2 linked regions of the Cricetulus griseus genome follow. The protein of the gene in region 1 interacts with the protein of each later gene in a pairwise test. Links are inferred from orthologs where the notes say so. Each region holds a gene or a part of one and is shown on either strand. Other genes may lie near its edges.

Region 1 (9,664 bases):
GACAATGTTGGTTGTTATCCATTTTGGAGAGTATTGCTCCAGGTAAAACCACATGACAGCAGGCTGCAAATACAAGCAGCTCCTCTTGAAGGGCTGCTCATTCCTTTGGCAGCCAGGCTTGAGGACCAGGCTCTAAATCAGACTTCCACAGAAAGAGTTCTGCCTGCTTGCCCACCAAGACTAAGAACAGTTCTGAGGCTGGTGAAACTGCTCCCAGACTTCTTCAGCAGCAAACTCTGCAGGGAGGCATCAAATGTCTGTGAACAGGGGCTGAGGCTGAAAGAGCCTGCAGCAACAGTCTTCCTGCCCCACAGCACCAGTGTGGGACATGCCTGCGCCTCTCAGCCATGTGGGAACAAACTCCGTGTCAGAGCCACCTCCAGGGTTGTATCTCGTATACATTAAAAGACCCAGATGCTGAGCTTTGAGCATCCTTGTAAGATCATTTCTGTTCCACAGTTTATATGTATTATAAATATATAAAAACATTATATTACAAATATGTATTACACTATGTATTATAAGTATATAATATATATAATATTTAAAGACATACATATTTATATAGGTTGGTCCTAGACCATATACATATATATATATATATGTGTGTGTGTATGTAATATGTGTGTCTGTGTAAGATCATCAACTACTGGTAAGTGAAGGGAACTACAAATGTCCTCTTAAAATGGTCACATTAGAATCCTAACTACAAGGAGTTGATGGCTTGACCACCCACTGTGTCTTGTCCTTAGGCACAGAATCAGCTGAGGTGCATGAATTCAGGCTGGTGACCACACTTGAGCCTTTCAGTAAGCTCTCTTTCTCTGAGCATAAGTGGAGAGCACATTGCCTGGTGTATGATAACAAAGCCAGTTTTCTCATCTCCCCAAGAGCTGATCCTAATTATATCTGTGCATCACAGAAACCTCAGACAGATGTGCCTCCTAAAAGTGAAAGCTGCCTTGCAAATGGTCAGCTTCACCCTTAATCATAACTATGATGGTTATCACTGTTGATGGCTTACCAAGGGCCAGGTCATGTGTCTAGTGGGTACACAGAAGATGACAGATGGTCATTTGTTGAGTGACTGAACAATACTCTGTGCCCTTCACATGCCATCACATTGACATGGGCGTTATAACTTGTTTTACAAAGCTACCACCTCTGGATTTGTTCTAATTTTTTGTTTGTTTGTTTTGTTTTTTAGATAGGATTTCTTTGTGTAGCCTTGGCTGTCCTGGAACTCCCTCTGTAGACCAGGCTGGCCTCCAACTTACAGAGATGTGCCTGCCTCTGCCTTCCAAGTGCTGGGATAAAGGCATGCGCCACCACCCTGCTACTGTTGTTATTCCAGTATCCATATAAAACCTCCATGAAGTAGATGCTATTAGCCCACAACACTAGGCAGAGTTTAAGTGACTTGCTTAAGAGCAGTCTCTGGGTGATTTACACTTCCACCTCGGTATTGGGGACTTAGCCCAGGCCTCAAGTATTACACCCCCTCCCCCAGGTACTCTACTACCAGGCTAGATCTTTTGGCCTCTTTTTAATTTAAATATTTTTATTTTGATACGGGGGTCTTGCTAAGTTAAACAGGCTGGCCTTGAACTGGTTCTGTAACCTAGGGAGACCTTGAACTTGCAATCCTCCTGCCTCATGCCTCTCATTATTTGGAATTATAGGCCCCTGCCAGGCAAGCCCAGTTAGTGGCAGTACTTGGAGGGCTGACTAGCATCAACACTCTGGGTTTCAGGTTCTTCACATCATAATCAAGTTCAAAATGGTAGGGGTAGTGCTCTTATCCTAGGCTTTGCTCATTTCTTTCTCATTCTCACCACTGCTCCTTCCTTGCTCAGAAGATCAACAATCCTGCAGACGTGGCCGGAAGGCAGTTATATAAAGAAACTTCAGTGATCCACAGCGTGGATTTTTGGTGCACGGCTGGCTTGGTTATCGTTCTCATTCCTTCCTCAAACATACGTTGGACACTCCTATGTGCACAATATTGTTAGCACACCAATGTGTACTCATCCGGAGAGCAGCAATTCTGAGGCTTCCTGGAAACCCTTGGCAGGAGAGTGTCGGTTTCCTTGGGAGGCCCTCTCACTTTTTTCTTCCTCTGGAATTGTTCTATCCCTCAAGGTGGCTGGAGCTGCAAGTTTCCTTCCCTAGAGGTCAAGTAAACTTGAGAACAAAGTGAGAAGCCTAGGGCAGAACCGCCTGGGGAGACACGACAGGAACTTGGGAGCGCCTGGGATTCAGTCCCCCAGGCCATCTTGTATATAGGCTGACTTCGTTGATAGCGAAGAGATAATAGAATTTATAGAGCCCGAGATTCCTAGTCCTTCAGTCACAAAGATCCCAGGCTCCAGCCATGAACCCTAGAAGGTTCCTATGCAAAAAGGACCTCTTGGGATGACTGCATACATTGTCCTCTGACAATGCAAACGTGACAGCTGCCTATCCAACAACCATTCCGCCTCCGTTCGTGCCACACAGGCATCTCCTGCGCTATAGTTATGCAACCTCACTCGCAGCGGGAGTTATTTCCTGTGCCGCTGGATGCGCCAGATTCATGTAACCCGCCTACCCCGGGCTTCAATGGAAGCCGTTCTCCATTAACAAGCACTCGGGCTTTCAGAAATGAATGCCCTGCATTGCATGCTGTTTGCGCAGTGAGAATCGCGCTGCGAGGTATTGAAATCAACTCTTTCTACACACACACACACACACTTTCTCTCCTCACTCCCCTGTGCAAGCAGCTAGGGGACTACAGCAATGCAACTAGAGGGACAGCAGGAGGAGCTCGCTTTGCAGTCCTGCCCTGTAACCCCCACTAACTAGAGATGAACTCAAGCCAGTTCCATTCTTTGCAAGGAAAACACAACACACGCGCGCGCGTGCACGCGCACCGAGCAGAACGGAGCGGCCTTCTGATTTCTTCCTCGAACACACGGTGGATGTGCAGCCTGTTTGTAGAGACAACCTGGACATTCCAGGCTGAGTAACGGGGAGTTGCGCGTCGCAACAATGCCAGTCCCGGAGCAGCTCTGCTCACAGATCCCACCCCCCGCCCCCTTTCGCGGCGTGCCAAGAGTTTGGAGCGCGCGCACGCACACGCGCGCGGTGCAGCGGTATATCCCTCCGCCGCCCTCCTCGCCCCGCTCCCGCTGCCCGACGATTTGGGAAGCGAGGGGAGGAGGGAACTACTTTTCGGAAACTTGTTATGCTGCCCACGATCTCGAGCTGCAGTGATTCGCCTGCGGGCCGTGGCTTTTAGGTCTTCCCCCACCTCCCAGAGGCCCCGCGCTGCCCGCTCGCAGCCGCGCCCCACGTCCGTCCGCTCGCCCGCCCGCCTGCTCCCGCGCGCCCCAGAAGTCGCGAGGGACTACTTCGCCTGCCTCTCCCGCGGGCGCCCCCGGTTCGCGCGGCGGAAGGAGCGGGCGGCGTGAGAGCTTCCGCCGCCCCCCTCGCGGCTCCCCTCTCGCGGGCGTGAGGAGCGGGCCCGCGGAGCTGCGCTGGTCTCGGCCCTCCTCGCCGCCGCTCGGAACTGTGCCCTCGGGCTCGGACGGCCACTTCGCGCCCTGCCTGCGGCCCCCAGCTGGAGCGCGTCTGAGGGAGCCCCTGAGGGCCGACCGGGTCGGCGCGCCGCGCGGGCAGCCGGCGGCCAGGCGGGAGATGGTGCGCGGCACCTCGGCGGACCGCGCCGCCGCCCGCAGCCAGCGCTCGGCTGCCCCCCGCCCCCGCCGCCGCCCTCCAGTCGGCGCGCCCTGAGAGCTGCACCGCCTCAGCCGCCGGCCGCGTCCCTTCCAGCGCCTGCAGCCGCCCGCGCCGTCTCGGCGTCGCACCCGGCCTCGGCACAGCGAACCGCTGGGGTCGCCACGGCCGCGCTCACTGCCGCCGCCCCCCTGCGGGGGTGGCCGGGCTGCCCGGCTCGCGGGGCGCCGCTCCGGGTGAGGCGTCCACCATGGTGAGGCCCCCGAGCCGCTGCCCGCGCGCCCCGCCGGCCGCCGCCGCCGCCGGCCCGCCGTCCCTCGGTGCCGCCGCTGCCGCTGCTTCCCCGCCTGCTATTGCTCCTTCATCTCCTGAGCGGATCACGGTGAGGGAAAGATGAGCGAGGAGACGGCGACTTCTGACAACGAGTAAGCGAGCCCTGGTGGGCAGCCCCCTCCCCCCCAGCCCGTCCCGCCCGGGAGGTGATAGATGCCCGATGTGTCGTCGGGTTGTGTTCTTTCATGGCAGCACCCCTTTCCATCTTTGCAATCGCCTCCCTGCTTGGGGAAGGCTATCGAGTGCGGAGCAGAGGCGGTGTAGCAATCGGACGTCTCCGAGACGGAGTAATGTGGGTGGCTCAAAGTGGAGTAGAAACTACCCTTTGCCTGCCCTTCACTCCTGCATCCCCCCCCCCCCCAGCACCTTGAACATCCAGCCATCTCCCTTTACATCTATTTCGCTCGGAAACTAATGTGTGGGTGCACCTCCTGCCGCAAACTGCTCTCGAATCCTAATTCGATGACTCAGTGACTCTTAAATGCTGCCGATTAAGCCTTCGCCCCCTGTCCCACTTTTTAAACTTATGACCTATACTGGTCTGGTAAAAAAAAAAAAATAGGGTTAGGGAAACATTTTAAGAATTAAATAGGATTAAGAACACCTGGAGTGTGGGCGATGTTGAGCTATTGTTTTGTTTTAGACCTTGGCGAATATTGAACTCGTCCTCATTAAGAACAGAACAATTAGGAATTTTGAATGCTAGTGTCTGGCTTTCGTCTGTGATAAAGCACCGTTTACATTGCCGAACGCGTTGGTGACTTTGTCAGTTTCATCTAGAGCATTCCGCGACTTTAAGTTTTTTGCTTATTTGGGCTGTCCTTATGTTTTCCAAACGAAGCACTGTGCCTTTTAAATATAGCAGCCGCTTGGAGGAAGAATGGTGCTGTAAGATTTTCCTGTTGAGAAGGGAGTTAATTTGAGGCAGAATATTGGCGTCCGTTTTCTTGTGATTGAGTTCAAGTTTTGTTTGTTTCTGGAGGGTTATGAAGAGTTAAATGAGGATGCATTCCTTTAAATAAAGTACATTCCTCAAGTCAGACCTCTTCGAGAAGGCTTTAAGGGCCAGTGCCGAAGCCCGCTTAGCATAAAATAGCTAGAAAAATACCAGGCAGCGTCCCCCCCTCTTTGAAAAGCACACACTGAGGGAGAGGGCGTGGAAGGAGGTGGATTGCTGCAGTCAGTGCAGTCTAGAAGCAGAAGTGGCCGCCATGTTCTCTCTTTTTTGTGAATCGCCCTCATTTGCATAGCACACTTCATTCATAAAAAAAATAATTAAACATCCATCACCTTGGACAACTTGAAAGGGTTTCCTAAGAAAAACATTCGAAGCTTGTTTGTCTTTATGTAGATTTTTGAGTTCGGGAAGTGAGGAGAATTAGAAGTTTTAGATTAAATTTTAGAACATACGCACACACAAACAACTACCCCAGTTCTCAGAATGTTGACACAGTTATGTGGGAAATATCAGTTCGGGGAGGTGCTGGGATCACGTGATCGCCTCCATTCATAAAATACCTGGCTGTCCATTCACAGTGCAGTACACTGTCACTGCCTTCCGCAGACTAGACCTATTTTGAGCTAGATCTAGAAGCCTGTCTCAGATGGTGCTGGGTTAGGAGAAAAACTGCGGAAATGCTGAAGGGATTGTCGGGGACTTTAATTAGTATCTTGGAGGAAAGCAGCTGGGATAAAATCTTACCTATTTTAGAGATGGGGAAAGATTTCTTACCAGTTTAATAGTTTAGAAAGTATTATTTCCTTGATGCGGCTGAGGAACAAATGATGGGGTGTGTACTAATGCAGACATATGATAGATTGTTTCAAAACGGGCCTTTTTTTTTGGTATTATGGCAAATTGAAAGTGCAAGTAAGTGTGAGAGAGATCTCAGTGGATGGAACCTTTGTTGCACTAAATGAAACAAAAATATTTCCGATGTTTTTAACCCTCAAGGTATTGATGCTTTGAAACAGAACACTTTGGAAATAATTCATCCAGATTTTTAAAATTGTTTTCACAAATATATCCTGCCTTATTAATACATTGTTCCCCAGGAAAGGAGTCGTCTATGTTAGGATGTATTATCCTCTGAAAGGTTCTTCCTAGGGCATTTTTTTTTTTTTAATTAACGTTAGAAAATGGTTGTGTTCACCTGGTAGTCATTGCTGCTAGAGCTTACATTGTTTACTTGTGCCTTAGCTCAACCACAAAGTGGATTTCTTAGAATGTCAATTTTAATCTGGTCATTTGTAGATCTCATCTTTATCGTAGGAGGTGAAGTTTTGAAAATGGAAATTCAAAAATTACTTAAAATCATACGTTATGAAGGAGTGAAAGATACAGTAGGGCACTCATGGTTCTAGGTATAGTTTAAAATGGCCTTGTATTATTTTTTCCCTTTTTCAAAGGGATTTAATTACAGTAGAAATTGTTCTTAGCATTTTATTGCTTCATTTTTCTTTGTTTTTAGCCTTTTAAAGAAGGCGAAAAATTACTAATTTCTTGAAGACTGTTAACTTTTAAAAATTAATGGATAGCTGTTGTACTGAAATATAATAAGGCCTTTTAGAATACTCATTCTGAAAACCATTTGAATTTAGATTTTTTTTTAGTAGAGAAATAGCTAACTGAGGTGATTGTATATCTAATCAAGAATTAGTAGATGTATTATCTAAAAGGCTTTGTTTTAACAGTGACAAATGAGGAAATGAATGAGAATAGGATGAAGCACCCACACTTTCAAATTCATGTTTAAAAAATAAAATATTTCAGCAGGTAAGATGGCTCAACTGTTAAAGGCACTTTGTACCATCTAGCCTGATGAACTGAGTTCCATTTCTGGGACTTATACTGTAGAACCTGCTCCCACAAGTTGTCCTCAACACAGTCACAAGTAAGTGTAATAAAACAATTTTTTAATCTGAGTTTTCAAAAGACAGTACATGTACTCTAGAGTAAACTGCTTTATGCTATAAGTATCGGAACTACCATACATGACTTTATTTTCGAAGATACTATATTTTGCAGAAATTAGTACTTCAGATGTGTCAGTTTTTCATTTTGCAGAAACAGATACTCCAGTAAATAAAGTTGTACCATAATGAATTAACCTTTTAAATTGAATTTTGGACACTTAAGAATATATTATATAATACCTAAGGGCCTTTGTAATTTGGTGTTGAGTGAATATCATGCTACATGCTCTTTGCCAATTTGGCCAAAGCACTTGGAGAAGTGAAATAGCTGAAAAACCAAGAATTCCGTTTATTGTGCTTAAATAAAGCCAGAACCATCTGCCATGTCAGTATACTAGGCTTTTTAATATCAAGTTGGGATTATAGTAACTTTAGAGGAGATTCATTAGAGTTTTGACAGAATTTCTCCTGTCAAAAGCAAATTTTGTGATTATACCATTTAGTGCATCATTAAAAATGTACCTCACAGTGGGAGTATATAAGTTTTCTTTCATTTGTCTTATATATTCGTATGTCTATGCATACATTATATACATAATAGTTAGAAAGTTATTCTAGAACTGAATGGAAAGAAGCATTGGGAATCTGTGACAGTTATTCAAGTAATGTATTTTATATAGATATTATGAATCTGTAATGTAAAATTTGCTTAGAATTCAGTCCAGCTCAGTGCTTGCTCACCTGCTTCAGCTTTCCTCCTTTTTGATATCAAGCTTTCTGGTCTTAGACTGTATGTTTTTAAACTATATGCTAGCATGCTTAAAATATTTTTTCAAGGAAAAAAAGCTTGTGGAAATAATTTTTCTCCAGAAGACTCAATTGTGCTATATGCTCTTCAACATTCTGTCCTTCTGTGTTGTTCTGTATTGATCCATACTTATAGTCAGATTTTAAAAATCATAATGTAAATTTACTCATTGCTCTGCCTGTTATTGCCCCTTCATATACACTTTTTTGGTGTGTGAATTATACATTTAGTTGTTTTGTTAGGCTGAAAGATTATAGGAAAATTATTTATGCTACCTTTTTTTTTTTTTTTCTTGTTTTTTTCGAGACAGGGTTTCTTTGTATAGCTTTGAAGCCTATCCTGGCACTCACTCTGAAGACCAGGCTGACCTCGAACTACAGACATCCCACTGCTTCTTCCTTCCGAGTGCTGGGATTAAAGGCATGCACCACTAATGCCTGGTTTATATTATATTTTAAAGAAGATTTGCTCTTTATTTCCTAAGGCCAAAATTGGTTTCATTTTTGACATGTTAGATTTCCTCAAGTTCTAGAAACAATAGTTGAGGCCTAAAACTATCATAGATACTTTTGGAGTAGTCATTGTGTTGGCCTCTGAGCTATGCAGTATTAACAAAAGGCTAGTCATTTGTCTATCTGTTTATCAGTTTTGAAGATTTGAAAGTTTCTTCCTCTTACAGCTTCTTCATAGTGCTACCTATGGGAAACTGGCTAGGAATAAAAAAGTTCATTGATGGGGAAGGGGTAAAAATTATAGGCTCCCTATTTGTATGCTTCTGGTGATGGAGAAGTTTTGAAGGGGAAAGACTGACAAACTTGCTCTGATGACGGTAACTTGAACTTGACTAATAGATCTCACTAAGTGTTGGAAGGGTCATACAGAGAGGTCTACATTTCTTCTCCAACCTTCCAGAAGAGTTGCATTTAAGTTAAAATTTGAGAAATAGTTTACCCACCCATGCAAGATCAAAAGCTAGTTCAAAGATGAATAATTTGTTTGCATAGCTACCATGAGATAACAAGGATTATAATATTATGTAATTGTGTGCAGACTCCTTTACCTGTGACTTTGATGATGTTGTTTATATGTTGGATTTTTCACTTTGTGCTGAGCACTGTGAAAAATGCTTTAAGAGTTTCATAAGTATCGGGATGGTGGTGGCACACACCTTTAATCCCAGCACTGGGGAGGTAGAGGCAGGTGGATCTTTGTGAGTTTGAGACCAGCCTGGTCTATAAGATGGAGTTCCAGGACAGCCTCCAAAGCTACACAGAGAAAAGCCCTGTCTGGAAAAACTAAAAAAAAAAAAAAAAAAAAAAACCCAAAAAACAATTTTGTAACTAATGTTTATGGACACTCACAGGAACACACACCCTCTCTCTGACTGTAGTAGTTTTACAGTGTATACTATGGTGGATTGATATATGTAAATATTTTGCTGTGTTTTAATTATCTTTCTAGAATGTGACTTTTAGTGGCTACTATATGTTCAATGTATGATATACTTTGTTTACCAGTCTAATGTTGTTTTCTTTTTTTGAACAGTATTAAGTTTGACATTGAATTTTTTCTTCATCAGTATCTGTTGTTTGTTCCTGGAGATAATCTAGGAATACCACATCTTAAGTTTTTATCAAGTTACCATATATAAAAGGAAAATTTAGTTCTAGTGTATGAGAGTACTTAGGCTTTGAAATGTTTGTCTTTGAGAATTCATGTCAGTTTTAAATTCAGAGAATGAAATTTTATTCAGACTTTTTGTTGTTGCTTTTGTTTTGTTTTGTTTTGTTTTGTTTTTTGAGACAGGGTTTCTCTGTGTAGCTTTGGAGCCTATCCTGGCACTCGCTCTGGAGACCAGGCTGGCTCGAACTCCCAGAGATCTGCCTGCCT
Region 2 (8,229 bases), on another chromosome or scaffold:
AAACTGACATTGTAGGATTGCTAGCATCTTTAAACAATGAAAATTTTGGGAGATTTTGTTTAATGTGGTATCCCAAAATTTCTCTTTTCTTAGAAAATTGTTCTTGTAAACAACCCTCAATAAGCCATAGACTCAATTTTGTCAGGAAACCATTCTTAGAAATGTGATCCAGGGTAGATAAGGCAGAAGATGTTCCCTGGGAGTGAATGGGACTGGAGGATCAGTCAAGGGCATTGTGTGGGAAGAATGTTGAGGGCTCTCTGGCTATCACTGTTGGTTTCTGCCCTGACTAGAGAAGGAAAGGAAAGAATGCTGGCTCAGGCCTGTTGCTCTGCCTTGAGATATAATCAACATATGTTGTCTGTAGTGGTAAATTATTTATCATTTATTAAAGCCTGCCTGAGGATTCAAAAAGCATCTGACCCTCAGCTTGAACCCCAATATCTGTCTCTGGGTCTTTAATTTATCTTGTTACATTGTCTTTGGCTTAAACTCCTCTGGGGTTGGCTGGATACTTGGCTTGGAGTGCCCTGCTATCACAGATGGGAGCTGATTTGGGTGGTTTGGGGGTCCTAATTCCTCTGGCTTGTTTAGGTTCACAGAGTGTTTCCAAATGGCCTGGCTTCCCAGGAAGGCACAATTCAAAAAGGCAATGAGGTTCTTTCCATCAATGGCAAATCTCTCAAGGGGGCTACCCACAATGATGCCCTAGCTATCCTCCGCCAAGCTCGGGACCCAAGGCAAGCTGTGATTGTCACCAGGAAAGCAACTGTGGATGCCACTCATGACCTGAACTCCTCTACTGACTCTGCAGCATCATCTTCAGCAGCCAGTGACATTTCAGTAGAATCTAGTAAGTGTTCCCAGTGCAGTGGGATGGGGACTCACGTGCGGAAAGGCCCCACGTGAGCCCCATACTGACTGCCTTTGGCCATTTAGATCCATTGTTGGTGGCACTGTGTGGTAATGTGAAGCCCCAATACACCTTTCCAGCTTGCCTGGTGTGCTGCAGAGATGTGAGTCTGTGTTTCCGTGTGTGTGGTTAAATAGCTGATATCAACCTGGGCAGCTGGGCCTGAGAGAAGAGCAGAGCACTGACCAAGCCCATGTGCTTTTCTCTGCAGTGGAGGCCACTGTCTGCACAGTGACACTGGAGAAGACCTCTGCAGGGCTGGGCTTCAGCCTGGAGGGAGGAAAAGGCTCCCTGCATGGAGACAAGCCTCTCACCATTAACAGGATTTTCAAAGGTGGGCCCTTTTCCCCTCTATACCCTCTCCAGTTGTGGGCATGCAGCAAGCACTCAAAACCCAAAACTCCTGAGACCCTTCTGGGCCACTGTCGATTCCCACGCCCTTTGAGTCACGTGTTGACCCTATGCATTCAGTTCTGCTTTTCTCACCTTGTGCCCTTGCTCAGCCATGCCTTTACTTCTCTTTTTGCTGGGTCCTCTCACATGACTGAGTACTAGGCTTGTGTAATGAGTCTTTTTCTGTCCTGCTAGCCAGCTCCCAAATAATAACACAGAAACTTATTGCTAATTATGAAAGCTCGGCCTATAGCTTAGGCTTGTTCCTAACTAGCTCTTATAACTTAGATTAACCCACTTATATTAATCTACATTCTATCATGTGGTGTAACCTGTCTTCTATCTTGCACTTCCTGGTTTCTCTCCTGGGGTCTCCCCTGCACTTCAATGATCTCTCCCTACTTCCTCTCTCTTCCCAGAAGTCCAGCCTATACCTCCTGCCTAGCTATTGGCCATTCAGCTCTTTATTAAACCAATCACAGAAATACATTTTCACATAGTGAACAAACATCCCACAACAGGCTTGGTTCAGCTTGGCAGGACCAAGGACATGAAGAGGCAAGGAAGACTCTGGCTTGAAGCACAGAGTTGAGGGCTACCGAAAGATGCATTGAGAAAGATCAATACCATTTTCACACAGTGTACTCAAAAATAAATGTTAAACTTAAAAATTATACAGCTGTGATAGCACTCAGGTGAAGACAAGACACTCAGGTGTTCCAGATCATAGTGAGTAAAAGGTCAGCCTGGATTATATGAGTCTGTCTCCAACCAACCAACCAACCAACCAACCAACCAACCAACCAACCAACCCACAATGCATAAGATGCCAATGTTTTGAGTAAAACCAGAGGCTAGCACTTGTCTCACAGTCTGGCTAGCTTTACTCTAGTCCTGGATTCATTGGTTCTTGTGTTTATTTTCCAATTGATGTCTTATTCATTATGAATTGGGCTGCCAGACAATGTGACATGTTGGTTAGTTGGATATGGATTATTCCTGAGACAATTATGAACACCTTGTAGCTACCCTGCAAATCTACCTGCAACTTCTTGCCATTTCTTAGGTGGAAGCCTTGGGCAAGGGAACAAGGGATGTGGAGAAAGAAATGTTGGTTAGAAGCCAGGCTCTGGGTGTAGTCTCAGCCCTGTCTCTAACTTGCCAGGTGACCATACTTTACCTGTCTAGAGGTTCCTTATCCATAAGAAGAGGTAAAAAGTATGGGTGTGTATCTGGGAGCTTTTAGAACTGGGATCCAAAGGGCATCTCATCCCTAATACCTGTCCTCATGAGCCTTCATGGCTAGCTGATTTTAAATTCTGCAGCATTCATGAAAACCAGTGGGTAGACTGAGTCATACATGGTAATTAACTCCAAGTGTCCATGCTAACTGCAGCTCTGGGGAAATGCTTTCAGCTCTTGAGGGAGCCGAAGCTGAGAGACCTGGGTTCTAATGTTAATTTCGCCATGTCCAGTGGCAGGACCCTGGGCAAGTCACTTCATTATTCTGGGTCCACGAGTGTACATGGGAATGAGCCTCCAGCCACAGGAAGGTGTGGCACTATGGGATGTGGATGCCAGAGCCTGGAGGTCAAAGTTTAAACCTAGACCTAAAAACTGAGCCACTTTCAAGTTCTGAGTGAGGCTTTCCATCTTTGGTCTCTGCACCTGTAAAAAGGGAGTCTATTGGTGTGTACCCCAAGGTACATGAGTACAGAACATGTGGGTCAATGCCCATTGTGGTACTTGCTCAATATTCTATATTTTCATTATTATTCTATACTCTATATTCAATATTGGTAAAGGCCATGGTATCAGATAAATTCGGGAGGTTTCCCTTCAATATGAACAGTAAAAGAAGATGTCATGGTTTCTGTATGCATCTTTGATTGAGTGGGTGCTATGCAGGTCTTTCTGGGTGGACACAGAGTTCTCCCCCAGTCAAACAAGCCAAAAACCCTGTGAAGATTGCTTCACGAATGTTTCACTAACTCACACCCCTTCTCACCCATTGCTAATGATATTACCAGAAGAAGGGAGTCAGTATGAAGTAGGATAGATAAGGAGAGGACCCAGAGCTCCAGGGCTTCTCTAGAAATTGTAGAAGTGTCTAACTGGGCTCTGGCTTGGAACTGCTATTGATGAATACAAGATGTAGCCAGAGATAGGGGAAAATACTCATGCAAGGACAGACCCAGAAATACTTCTCAGTCCACTCAGTGTAGGGAGACACCGTAACCACGCCTTCTAAGGGCTGGCTACAGATGTGCCTGACCACGCCTGTCAAGGCGTGGTCAAGGTGAGGTCAGAGTAACGTGGCATCAGCTCTTAAGCAACCAGGAGCACATGGAACACTCTCTTCCCCTTCGGTTGCTCCTTCTCTCTGGCCTCCCTGCCTTGCTGCCCCTGGGCATGCTCTGGCTTGTGTTTGGCTGGTATTTATCTGAATAAAGGTATCTTGAATCTATAAGCTTTTTCCTTCAGCTCAGCCTAGCAAGAGTGCCACGTGCCTTTCTCCCTGCTTCTTAAACCCCTGTTACATACCTGTGACCAGGGTTTCTCCCTACCAACTGCCTGTCATCTCCTCACTTGAAAACAGAGCTGAGTCTTGGTTCCCAAACTCTGAACTACCTTGCTGTGAAATGCTTCACTTTAGAACCACAGACAGGCTCCCAGGGATGGGTGTGTGACCCACTTCTGGCTGTCCTGGTTCCTCAGAAAGTGCCTTTTATTCTTCCCGTTGTCTGTGAAGCCCAGAATCACCTGCCATGTTCTCCTTCTTTATAGGGACAGAACAGAGTGAGTCGGTCCAGCAAGGAGATGAAATCTTGCAGCTCGCTGGCACTGCCGTGCAAGGTCTTACTCGGTTTGAAGCCTGGAATGTCATCAAGGCATTGCCTGATGGGCCTGTCACTGTAGTCATAAGAAGGAAGGGCCTCCAATGCAAGCAGATGATAGCTTCTGGGGACCCCTAGACAAGATGCCGATGCTACGACAATGCAGGAGCATGAAGCTCCCATCACTGCCGATTCTCAGGGTCTCTGCTGCCCACCTCACCCAGGCTGGGGAAAGCCCAGGTGTGCTTCTGGTAGCTGCTGCTCAGGTTTGGACTTTCTGGGACACTACCCACCAAGAGGGTTATTCTAAATGGCAGGACAGAGTCACACAGAAGTGGCTGATACAACTTGCAGACTGTATATAGACAGCTTAGTGATACTATTCTGGTGCCAAAATAAATTGGGTGTATTGCAGTTTTCTATGAAACCCATGTCCTGATTTGAACATTACCCAGGTACTATGAAAGCCACCCCATGGCAGCAAGTTTTGTCTTATGAATCTGCAGGATAGGCAGGACTTGGAGCTCCTTTTGGCCCCACTAAGCATCATCTACAGCAACTCAAGGTTGGGCTGGGGTCCTAGGAAGGGTCACTGCTTGTATCTCTGGTTGCTGGTTCTGAGTGATAACTAAGTGGTCTTTTCATGGCTTGGGCTTCTGTGCTGTGATGCCAGGCTGCCTGGTACACATACCATAGCCAGACAGGAGCTGCATCTATTTAAATGTTCTACCTTCAAAGACTCATAGCATTGCTTGCATTGTATTCTCACTGACAGCAGGCAAAACCTGCCTGGACTCAAGGAAAGGGTATTATGTTGTCAGGAACATTTTTGTAAGATGCAACCAGTCATGAAAAACACTTTCAAACAAGCAAAAGACTATTTGGTTAGGTTGAGAAGTGATCCTAGAAAGGGTGGAACCAGGAGATAGAGGAGTGCGCTGTGAGTTAAGGTGTAGACAGATGTGTTCACAGGATGAACCAGAATGGATATGGGTGTAAAATGTAAAATACAAATTTCTACCGATGTCCCATCTGTCACATGTCAGGCATTCTGCTTGATGTTAAATGACAGTCATGTGTAATTACCACCACTTCAACAATGGTGGTCCTGTGCTGGTGTATTGGAAGGTACTAAGCCTCAGGACAATGAATGGCTTGTCTGGCTGGGATATGGTGGGCAGAGATTGTCATTCCTTCTGTGACCTGGTAGACATAAGCAGGCCCAGGAGAGTTATAACAGCACACTAGGAAAGACACCCTCTCAGCCAGTTCTCAGCATGTGCAGGACCAATAGAATATTTGCTTCGGTCACCTTTGAATATCTGATAGCCAAGCTCGGGACAACTCAATGTGAATCTTGATGATCCATAGCAAGTATGGGTTAGTAGGTTTGGGCCAGGGGTTCAGCTCCTCATCCCCACTCCTCTGAAATAAGGATGACATTGAAGGCCTGGCAAGTGTCACAGGCAAAACACCAGAGTCCATATATTTCAGGGCACTGCAATGGGAGCTTGCCAATGTAACCTGCTGGCCTCTCCAGAATTTGAAGTGGACTCAGAAGCCCCCACTGTGCTCTTCTCTTCATGCAAAGCCCTCCAGTGACTCTTGTATAGCTCAGTCTCACCTACTCTGAGCATGCTTCTCCAGCCCACTTGGAATTACATCCTGTAGCAGTCAAAAGTAGATGAAAAATTCAGGATACCATTCCTAGCAGCCTTTGATAACTATTAGAAGTTATATTTGATCTAACAATAAAAGATGTGGGGCTGGGGAGATAGCTGTCAGGAAAGGGCTTAAAAGCCAATCAAGCATGGTGACTCAAATTTCATCCCCAGAGACCAGAAAAACAAAAACAAATAAAACCAAACAACCAAATAGACAAATGGAAACAAAAGAACCAGGCATGGTGACATTCACTTGTAATCCCAGACCCGGAGAAGCAGAAAGACACAGCTTCCTAGAACTCGCTGGGCATCCAGCCTAGCCTATTAGGTGACTTTCAGTCCAATTAGAAAGTCTGTCTCAAAAAACAAGGTGGATCACCTTCAAAAGAACGGTAAAGCAAGCAGGCTTAACACAGAGGAGACAAAACCAGAGAGAGACAACAGGAGATCAACAGTTAGTATCCAAACTCCAGGGAACAAAGCAGCAGCAGGAAATCCAGACAGATCTAGACAGAGTGTGGGAATGTCTGAACCAGCCTCATCAAAATGCAAATGTGTCCAAATGAGCCCTTTGACTAGACTTCCTTCCTCCCTCGAAATGATGTGAGAAACAAATAAAGGAAGAGTAGAGGAATTATTAAAAGCTACTAAAAGACTGTGAGGGGCACCATATCTCTGAAGAGTCTTTAAGCAATCACAATGTCAGCCAACAGAGATCTCTCCTTTCTTCACTTGAAAGGCAGAAACCTACATGTATTTGAAAAGAAAGGAGACAGCATTTGTCCCTACTGGAATGGCCAGTATTGTGGCAATTGCTAGATAACTGTAGGCTTGTGTAGTCCCACAGCACAGGAGACTTATTCTTCCTTCCTTCCTAATGGCAGCAAGGCCTGATGGATCCAGAAAACCAGAGCACTCTTGCCTCACCCCCATGACTGAGGACAGAGTCAGGTATATGCCAGGGGGCTCTTCTACCCAGAGTCCTCCATGCACACAGGAGTAGCTGGCCCTACTCGGAATCACTCACACAGGACACAAGAACTCCCACTCCTTCCCAAAGATATAATTTGGCCCGGGGCAGATTCAAGCTGGTTTCATGGGGACATGAACATTAACTCATGAAGGGACAAACAGATAGAAAAGACAATTCTGATGGAAGATACAACAAACATTAGGTAGAAAGTGTTTTTCCTTAAGGCTCAGTCTGTGCTTTAAAATATATTTTCCAAGTTTATGTCTTTGTAAGGAGGGGAAAGTCTTGTGTTAAAAATTTGTATATAAAATTTATCACAAAATGAACACAGGAGTCTGGTACAAAAGTCTGGGTGCTCCAGATGCCCGAGGAAGCAGGACTTAGTGACCAGGATAGACAATGATTCTCTAAGACCAGCAGAGAGACAAGGTGTCTGACAGCAACGCACAGGACCCTGGACCACAAGGAACCAAAGGGTGTTTGAGCTATGTCTTTGTAAAGTGGCCATAGCAGGACCTGTCCTGCCAAGTGTGTGTGTGTGTGTGTGTGTGTGTGTGTACCACTGCAAACTGATGGACAGCTTCTTCCACACCAAGCCCAAGAGGAAGGAGAGGTGTGTGTGGGGATGCTATCCTAGGCTGGCTCCCCAAGACTTCCTGTTCACTAGGGCATCTCAAACAGCCACAGTAGCTCTTCTGTGTTCTTTGAGGCACAACAGCTGGAGCTCCTGAAGGGCATTTCTTTCCAATAGGCGACTGTATCAGTGATGGAACTTCCTCACTGCCTTCTGAAGGTTGGGGTAGAACTCAGCCATGCTGCGAGGGAAGAAGGAGTCTACCACACTCTGAGGGAGGTAGCCACTCAGGTCTGTCTGGAAGAATGTGACCAGCTTGGTTTTGTTAGGCTCCCTGAGAAAGAAACAGCAGTGGTGGGTTAGATATGTACCCCAGAAGTATCTAGCCCAGAGCCATGACCAGCAGAAGCAGCCCAGACACCGTGTTCATTTCTACTCCTGCTCCAGACTCAGTACCCAGGGTTCCTCTCAACCTTGTTCTGGATAATAATGTATCTTTTAGGAGACACACTGCCCAGCCCACTGCAAACACATTGGGGGGCTGATGCCATGCCCTGGGTGGGTGTGCAGATGTTCCTTGTGACTATTAACAGCTGTGTTTTTGATGGCTGGCGACTTCTGGGACATCCTGGCCCTTTCCAGGTCAGCAAGGTTAAAACTCCTTCCATGCAATGATTTCTATGAACACACAGTGGAGTTTTTAGCCTATGTGACTTGTGACCCCACAGCACACTCTGTCACAGATGTGTTTATTATGTCTGACATGAAAGAAATTGGAGAAACTGGAAAAGATTGCCATTCTTCTCAGTTTTTATTTAGAAAAGCTGATTTTTCTTTTAAAAAATTGCTACTTAGCATGCAATTCATTTACTACT

Evidence for each region.
Region 2: the proteins of Spred1 (region 1) and Il16 interact in binary tests that used the Homo sapiens proteins (3 or more experiments, as listed by UniProt). The link is inferred for Cricetulus griseus from reciprocal best matches to the Homo sapiens genes SPRED1 and IL16.

Annotation. Positions count from the first base shown.
Region 1 is NC_048599.1:61,428,682-61,438,345, reverse strand, and holds the start of Spred1 (sprouty-related, EVH1 domain-containing protein 1), read left to right. Parts: upstream 1-3,990; 5' UTR 3,991-4,110; coding exon 4,111-4,142; intron 4,143-9,664. UniProt on the Homo sapiens protein: Tyrosine kinase substrate that inhibits growth-factor-mediated activation of MAP kinase. Negatively regulates hematopoiesis of bone marrow.
Region 2 is NC_048596.1:114,020,435-114,028,663, forward strand, and holds the end of Il16 (pro-interleukin-16), read left to right. Parts: intron 1-594; coding exon 595-853; intron 854-1,124; coding exon 1,125-1,247; intron 1,248-4,093; coding exon 4,094-4,281; 3' UTR 4,282-4,455; downstream 4,456-8,229. Other genes in the region: Stard5 (stAR-related lipid transfer protein 5), read right to left, coding at 7,541-7,688. UniProt on the Homo sapiens protein: Interleukin-16 stimulates a migratory response in CD4+ lymphocytes, monocytes, and eosinophils. Primes CD4+ T-cells for IL-2 and IL-15 responsiveness. Also induces T-lymphocyte expression of interleukin 2 receptor. Ligand for CD4.